Linked DNA regions of Oryza sativa Japonica Group. The protein of the gene in region 2 interacts with the protein of the main gene of each other region in a pairwise test. Links are inferred from orthologs where the notes say so. Each region holds a gene or a part of one and is shown on either strand. Other genes may lie near its edges.

The links.
Region 1: the proteins of putative protein Brevis radix-like 3 (region 2) and protein PHYTOCHROME KINASE SUBSTRATE 4 interact in binary tests that used the Arabidopsis thaliana proteins (3 or more experiments, as listed by UniProt). The link is inferred for Oryza sativa Japonica Group from reciprocal best matches to the Arabidopsis thaliana genes BRX and PKS4.

Annotation. Positions count from the first base shown.
Region 1 is NC_089035.1:9,006,559-9,010,575, forward strand, and holds protein PHYTOCHROME KINASE SUBSTRATE 4, read left to right. Parts: upstream 1-1,322; 5' UTR 1,323-1,654; coding exon 1,655-3,232; 3' UTR 3,233-3,419; downstream 3,420-4,017. UniProt on the Arabidopsis thaliana protein: Modulates phytochrome-mediated control of hypocotyl growth orientation. Involved in PHYA and PHYB signaling. Acts as an inhibitor of asymmetric growth. Not involved in the control of leaf flattening.
Region 2 is NC_089038.1:30,808,993-30,813,279, forward strand, and holds the start of putative protein Brevis radix-like 3, read right to left. Parts: upstream 2,831-4,287; 5' UTR 2,424-2,830; intron 2,147-2,423; 5' UTR 1,999-2,146; intron 383-1,998; 5' UTR 274-382; coding exon 169-273; intron 1-168. UniProt on the Arabidopsis thaliana protein: Acts as a regulator of cell proliferation and elongation in the root and shoot. Regulates roots architecture and primary root protophloem differentiation.

The DNA.
Region 1 (4,017 bases), on a different chromosome or scaffold from region 2:
TGTAGTACTCCCTCCATACTCACAAAGGAAGTCGTTTAGGACATTGACACGGTCTTCAAAACACAACTTTGACTTCTTGTTTCTATAAAAATATTCATTGAAAAGTGATATATGTATACTTTTATAAAAGTATTTTTAAGACAAATCCATTCATATAATTTTTATATTTTCAAACTCAACAACTTGAGAGTTATTCATGATTTATATTTTCAATGTTTGACTTAAACATTATCCTAAACGACTTACTTTACGAGTATGAAGGGAATATGTGTTAAGCGAGTGTACTCGTAAGCATATGTGCTCGTCTGAATTGAAAAATTAAAAATCTGTCGTAGGATGTTTTCTAAACTGAAAAAAAAATAATATATATTTTAATTATTTGCAGCAGCACAACGTGATAATAGCAGGTTGTATGGCGCATTAGCCTTGGACTGATCGGTCCTGGCCGAAGTGCAACGCTGTAAACGCAGAGCCCAGTGCACCGCAACGGAGGAAAACCGATTGGCCGCCGCCGGTGTCGTCCGCCCGCGCGGGGGACTCACGTACATCGTTGTACCGCGCCCGCCGCACTCCTTCGCTCGCGCGACGTCAACCACACACAATTTCTTTTAGAGAAAATATAAAAAAGCAATCCACTGCTCCCTCCATCACATAATATAAGGGATTTTAAGTTTTTGTTTGCACTGTTTTATCCCTCGTCTTTTATTCAAAAAATTTTAAAATTATTTTTTTTTTACTTACTTTATTATCCAAAGTACTTTAAGCATAACTTATCATTTTTTATATTTGCACAAATTTTTTAATAAGACGAGTGGTCAAACAGTACAAGCAAAAACTCAAAATCATTTATATTATGGGACGGAGGGAGTACAAACTAGTCTAAGCTAATAAAAAAATTTTGAGACACATGACACGTACTTTAAGAAATGAAAACCAGCGGCACGTCCCTAATCTCACTAAAGTCTGGTTGAAAATCCACCTACATGTGCGTAATATTCGTGGACACCAGGATTTAAACCATATTGGGTGAAGTCATGCACTCACAACTCCACCACCACACCACGGGTGCTTCCCCAAATTGAACATAAATTTTAATTAGCTTTTAACAATTCTTAGGGTGAAATGATCTTTTATAGCGGTTAACAAGTACCGCTAACGGAAACCTACCGGCAGTGATATGTCTAGCACAAAGACACTTGTACAATATCATTATCGGAAAGATGGGTTTGTCAATGATTCTTCTTCGATTGATACGCTTGTCGATGATATTTTTAAAATGTTCTCTTTTTTAATACTTCCTCTGTTCCATATTATATCTAAATTTATTAATATTCATATGAATATGAGCAATGTAAAAAAAAGTATGATAATATGAAACGGAAGGAGTATAAGGAATTAGATCGCGCGAGCGACGCGGACACACTCATGCCGCTCCCGCTTGCCCACTGACGCGAAGCGTGCTCGAGTGCTCGACCAGCCTTCGTCTCCGCTCGCCTCGCCGTCGCCGTACGTCGCCCTCCGCGACAGCCTGTGCTCCCGTGGCTCCACCCGCTCGCCTCCTCCTACAAATCCTCCATCCCGCCTCACCTCACCTCACCTCACCTCTCACTCACTCACACGCGATAAAAGAGTTTGCAACAAGTGGTCTCCTTCCATGGACAGGTACAGGGTCGCGCCGCGACCTGTCTACCTCTCCGCCGCCGCCGCCGCCGGCGGTGATCACGGCGATGGGCCCCGCCGCCTGCCACGCGGTGTCGCCGGCGGCGGTGGCGCCGAGCTCGACATCTTCTCCGCCGAGCGCTACTTCAACGCAGACGACGTCGTCAAGAAGGAGGAGTACCGCGACGAGGAGCAGCCGCGGCAGGAGGTGGCCGTGGATGCGGCCAGCCAGAGCGGACGCACCGTGGCGTGCTCATCGGAGGCGAGCTGGACCAGCCGCTCCGGGCTGCTCTCCGGCCACGCCCAGTCCGCCGCGTCGGCGGGTGCTGCTGCTAAGCTCCAGATGGGTGGTGCCAATGGCGGCGGCGGCGCCGCCGCCGCCGCCGCAAGCGCTCACCGCGGCAAGAAGCCCGGCTCCGGCCAGCGGTGGGGGCTGTTCTCTCGTGACTGCCCCTGCGCCGGCAGGAAGGCGGTCACCGTCGACGTCGCCTCCGAGCCGAGGAGCCCGGCGACGCCGAGAACCCACGCGAGGTTTGAAAACAGCCATGTCGTCGCCGACAGCACGATCTTTAAAGCGAATGCGCCGCCGCCGCCACCGCCATGCGAGGAGGAGCCCGTCAAGATGAAGATATCTCCGGGGAGCAGCACGTTTCCTCCTCCCCTCGCGAACAGTATCTTCGCGGCGGCGCCGAACAGGGGCGGCGGCGGCGGTGGCGCGGCGCCGTTCGCCGCTTTCCCGGCGCCGGACATTGTTGGCCGCCGCGTCGTGAGCTCCGGCGGCTTCACGTTCCCGGTGGCCGTCGGCGCGGCGAAGGTGGTGAGCACCGTTGGCGACGAGCCGCCGCGCGAGTCGCTCGAGGTGTTCCGGCCCATAGACGAGGAGTCGGTGCTCGCCGACCCACCGGCCGATCACCTGGCGACGGTGGGCGGCCGCGGAGGAGGAGGAGGAGGCCTCGCCGCAGGCTTCGCGCGCGCCCCAGGGGTGGCGGCGGTGGCGACCGACGAGGAGGCAATGAGCGACGCGAGCTCGGACCTGTTCGACCTCGAGAGCTTCGCGGCGTCGTCGTCGTTCCCGACCACGTGCCGCGGGCGCAGCAGCCGGCGCAACTCGCGGGAGGACGACGACGACGACGAAGACCTTCCGTACGGCGCCGCGGCCGCGGCCGCCGCCGCCGTCGAGCCGGCGCTGAGCGAGTGCATGTACGCGCCGAGCGAGGTGAGCGTGGTGTGGAGCGTGGCCACGGCGGAGGGCGGCGCGTTCGACGCGGCCAGCGTCGCCAACTTCTCCAGCGCGGCGTCCGCCTGCTGCGTCGAGGAGTTCAGCTTCGTCCCGCCGCCTGACTCCGCCGCCACCGCTGGCGGCGGCGGCCACGAGGGCTTCACCGCCGCCATGTCGCGCAGCGCCGCCCGCAAGAAAGGCGGCGGGTTCTTGAGCAGCTGCCGGTGCGAGAAGGCTGTGAGCGTCGGGCCAACTCCCGTCCGGATGGTCCGGCCGGAGGTGAACGTCAAGACCACCGGCGGCGGCGCGGCACGGTATCACCCCGGCCGCGTCCGCATGCCGGTCCGGACGTGAACTCGCCGCCGGTGAGCACCGGCGACGTACATACGTTCAACGAGCGGGAGAACGCGAAGGCGTGCGCTATGGTTTAATTAGTTTTGATGTGTAAATTTGTGAGTGAGAAATGTGTTGGTGTAAGGAATGCACATTTGTGTTGTAATAAACCAAGACTTTTAATTTCTCTATACAGATTTCGTACGTACATATCCCTTCAGACCCTTCACAGAGAGGGGAGGGGGGGAGGGGGGGTTCGCTCCGCCTCTCCCTATACGCTTCTTCCCTTCCTCCTCTCCTTCTTCTCTTCCTACAACATATTAAACCATAAAAAAATTTTAAAAAACAAATAGTTAGAAAAATTTATGTATAGAAATACTATATATAAAAAATTTGAATTCAAATTCAAATTCAAATTCAAATTCAAATTTGAATTAAAATTTAAATTTGAATTCAATTTGAATTTGAATCGGGTATGTAAACTTTTGACTTATAAACATTGGATCTATAAACTTTAGGTGTATAAACTTTAGATGTATATAGAAAATATTTGAATTCAAATTTAAATTTGAATCGGATATAATTCAAATTCAAATTTGAATCGGGTATATAAACTTTAGTTCTATAAACTTTAGGTCTATAAACTTAACTTTAGGTGTATAAACTTTAGATGTATAGAAATAATATATATGAAAAATATTTGAATTCAAATTCAAATTTGAATCGGATATTTGAATTCAAATTCAAATTTGAATCGGATATAATTCAAATTCAAATTTGAATCGGGTATATAAACTTTTGATTTA
Region 2 (4,287 bases):
TGCTACTACTATCTCTTCCTCATACAGACAGAGCTAGTAGCATGTAGTAGTACACTCTATATACTGCAGTACTGATGGCAAAGTAGCAGGTGTAAATTCGATCCAGGAGTAGCATGTACGAGAAGAAGTTTAGATCAAGACGAAGAAGAAGAAGGGACAGACGGGTACCTGTGAGGTGAGGGACTTGACGGCATCTCTGCCGTGAGGCGTGGCCGCGCCACGGGACCCGTCCTCCCCGCCTTCCTTGGAGGAGCACGCGATGCATGCCAGCATCTTCTCTGACCCCCTCTCCCTATCTGCCTCCCTCTCCTCGATCGACGACGACGAGACGGATCAATCAGTAGTCAATCGCTCCCCCCACAATCTCACCTTGTGTATCGAACTGCAAAAGTGTGTGCATTAGCGTTACATATATAGTACTACCACAGTACGGCTATCTATCAGAATTGAAGCCGCTGTAACGAAAGATCAAGTTTGATCAGACATGCCGTCATGTAGACACTACAGCCCACGGCTACAGTTGCATGCATGCATGTGATAGAATGTCTATCCATGAGATGGTCAAACTTTGTCGTTGTTCGCATGGCAATAGTACACTTAGTACATGTATAGTACACATTTCCATGATAATTAAACGAGTGCGAGATTTCGTGTATCCACGCACACGTATGTACGACCAAAATAAATACACGCCGAAAGTACGTACTCCTATCAAGTATCAACAGTGACACTATCAGTCTAGTATCCTCTAGCCATAGCCACAATCTACAATGTACTGTAATAACGTAAAGCGGTTTCCAAGCCGGTGTGTGACGCCATTCTAGTACCACACACCATTTGGACCAGACGTGCCATGCCATCCTTGCATCTCACATGTAAGCACGCGAACACGACATCCGGTACACTATGCGAGCACAGAGCTATCCGGCCGGTCCGTGACCACGCACACGTGCGCATGCGTGTGCGTCGGAGGAGCTGTCCTTCCGGCTCGTTGAGCAACAGAGAGCAATGCAAGCATGCGTATGTACGAGAGATAGCTATAGCTAGGGACTCTGGTCTCTGGAGCTTCAATTCGCCACCGGCGTCAAAACGGGGCAAGCTGGCTGGCTAGCTGGTGCAGTGGAGCACTGGAGCCTGCAGCGACAAAAAAGTATAGCACCAGCATAACAAAGCAAGCAAGACCCATGCCAATGGCAGCATCACAGTCGTTCACAGCTACTCCTGCATGCATGGCATGCATTCGCAGGCTGCTCTAACACAGTGGAAGAAACGCTACGCGGGGCAAAGCAGATCGATCGACGGGCACAGGCACAGAGATTCTTTAATCGCCATGCCACATGACACACACACATATACTACTAGTAAATCAAAACTGAAAAGCAGGTTGTAGTAGTAAAATACGGTCAGCTACATTGCGGCAGGGAAGCTTCTGATGTTTACGCGCACATGGAAATTTATTAACCACCAGTGTGCTATGGCTAGCTAGCTCCGCCCGTTTGTGTATGTGTTGTGCACAGTGTTCATGCAGATGAGGCGCAGCTACCCACGCGAGGTAGGCAGGGGCGTATGGGGAAGACTCCAAACGACACCAACAGCAGTAGCTCGGTGGACGAGGCAGGGAGCCGCTCAGATGTGTATCAGCTACAGTCACTGCAGCTGGGGCCCCACGCCCTCCCCCAGATCAACGTACTGCCTGGACTTTATTTTTTTTTTCCTCCTGCTCCATCCCTACCGAGAAAAATATGGGCCCCGGCTAAAGCGACCGGCTATCGAGTGACTGCATTGTGGAGCCCGGTAGGGTTTTTGCTGATTATCTTTTGCGCTTTTTTAATAGAAACACGACGTGATAACCTTAAACACGGTATTGTGTGTGTTTTCTTTTGGCCGGTGGTAGTAATTTCTTTTGTACAGTAGTAGTATCAGCTAGTAATTAATTAATGTTGCTGTAGAGGGAGAGAGAAATGAGAGGCACAGTGAGAGTGATGAGATGATGCTTACAGGTAACTGACGGCCCCCAGATAGCTACGTTAGCCACAGCTCTCTCTCTCCTCCGAGTTTGCTCGCCGTGTAAACAGTGTGCGTACCCAAACCACCTACGCGCGCGCTGACCGGGTTGCTCCGCCTCCTCTTCCTCTCTCTCCGGCGCCTGAAATGATGCAGACAAAAATGTGCCAAAATAAATATGTATACGCCTAGAAGCGAGAGCGGGATGCAAGGAGAAACGGCCTTTTATTTTTGACACCAAGATAAACGGACTTTGACTTTCTGGTGAACAGAACAGGGTAAGAAACGGCATGCAAGACGAGAAAACAAAACATAGAAAAAGTGTAACTCAACACACACACACACAAAAAAAAAGCAAAGCAAAGATAAGACGAAGCATCAAGCAAGCTGGTTGCGTGCGTCGCCGTCACCACCATTACCTTCTCCTCCACGTCGCCGGTGAGCGAACGAGCGCAATTTGCAGCCCGCCGGTCGGCTTCACCTTCGCCGCCCTTTCGGTTTCGAGCTCTGCCTCTGAATCGACTCAGAAGCCTTTGGAGATAGCACAGAGAGAAAGGCCTCCCTTGTCTGGTCGAGGAGTGGATGCGGCTGCGTCAATGGCGCCAAACACAGCGGCGGCAAAGATATCAGAAGCTACGCAGCGACGCTGTCGCCGCACAGAAACAATCTGGGACTGAGTGGGAGATTCCTCTCGCAGTCGCAGGAGAGAAGAGCCACGAAGCGAGAGAGAGAGATCGAGGTGGGGAGGGAGAGAACACTGCGGGCGTCGCGCTGGGCCGTCGGATCCTTCCCCCATATACGACGAGAGGGCGCCGAGTGCACAGGCAGTGCAAGCCGTCTCGTTTCCGGCCCATATATAGTCCCTCCCCCACGGGACACGCGGCGGTCCCCGCGAGATCGCGGCCGTCCGATCCTGCGCGGCGTGTGGTCATCTCCCTGGTCCTGGGCTGGGCCCCACCTACGGTGATTCGCTGCGGGGCCCGCGAAGGCCCGGGCCCCGGCACGGACCGTGGCGATGACGAACGTGCTGCCGTGGCGCGATCAGGACCGTGCGATGTGATGCATATGCTGACGGGGCTTTGTCATGATCGAGGACCGTCCGATCTTGATGGCGCAAAGTACGTCAGCGTGTGCTTGCAAGCCCAATAGGCGAGTAGCCCATAGCGACTGACGGAGCGTGGGGCTCCTCACCGGGAGACCGCGCTGGTCCCCTTTTGCCGGTTCGGCCGGGGACCCTGGGTGAGACTCTAAGCTCCCAATTTGTGGAAGGTTCGCGAGACAGGAAACACACAAGACGCCGGCGATGTATACAGGTTCGGGCCGCTGAGAAGCGTAATACCCTACTCCTGTGTTTTGGAGGATCTGTGTATGAAGGAGCTACAAAGTATGAGCCAGCCTCTCTCTTGTTCTGGGTTCCCAATCTGGAAAAGTCCAATCATCCCCCCTCTAAGTGGGCAAGGTCCTCCTTTTATATCTTAAGGGGATACCACATGCACCATCTCCCCCTCTCTTTCTTCCAATTTGACTTCTCTTCATTAACAGACGGAGATTTGCATCGCCGCCGTCCGAATGACCTTCTGATGGGACGGCCCATACCTACCTCCACTTCCGCCGGAGGCAGGCGCGACGTGGGAAGATGGCTGTCTGCTGATGACTTGACCATTGTCAGACCGGTCACAAATCGGTCATTCTTGTCCACCACGTGTCAGTTTAACAATCTGCATGTTCGCCCTTCTTCATACAATATCTTGCCTGTAATGGTTAGGATGAAGCCTGGCATATATCTGACCGGAACCAACGTGCCATCTCCAGGAGCTAACACGCCGGCTCCAGCTAGGGACGAGTGCTTGGAGGCTCTCGTCCTGACGGGATGGGGCGAGGCGTGCGTCAGACCGCCTGTCGCCACCTAACCCATGATCTGACCGGTCTGTGACTGGTCACAGACCGGATAAACGAGCGTGCTGTACTGCGATACAGGCGGCGTGACGCGCTCGTCAAAACTGCAATAAATGTGGTTAGGTGAGCCCCGCCATGCTCACCTACCCCATATACGTGGCGCAAAACCCACAAGGGGTCGGGGCGCTTCGGCCCTCGGGGCCGAGACGGGAGCGGCCCGACCCCTTGGGGAGACAAAGAGAAGGGCAGCCGTATCACCCTCGGGCCCGCCCCCCCCCCCCCCCCGAGGGAGTTAGGCCACGTGGGTGATCGTGTCTGCCTCAAGTCTCTAAGTCATGATACTCCCGGTAAAGAGGAGGGCGAACACATCACCCTCGGGCCCGACGC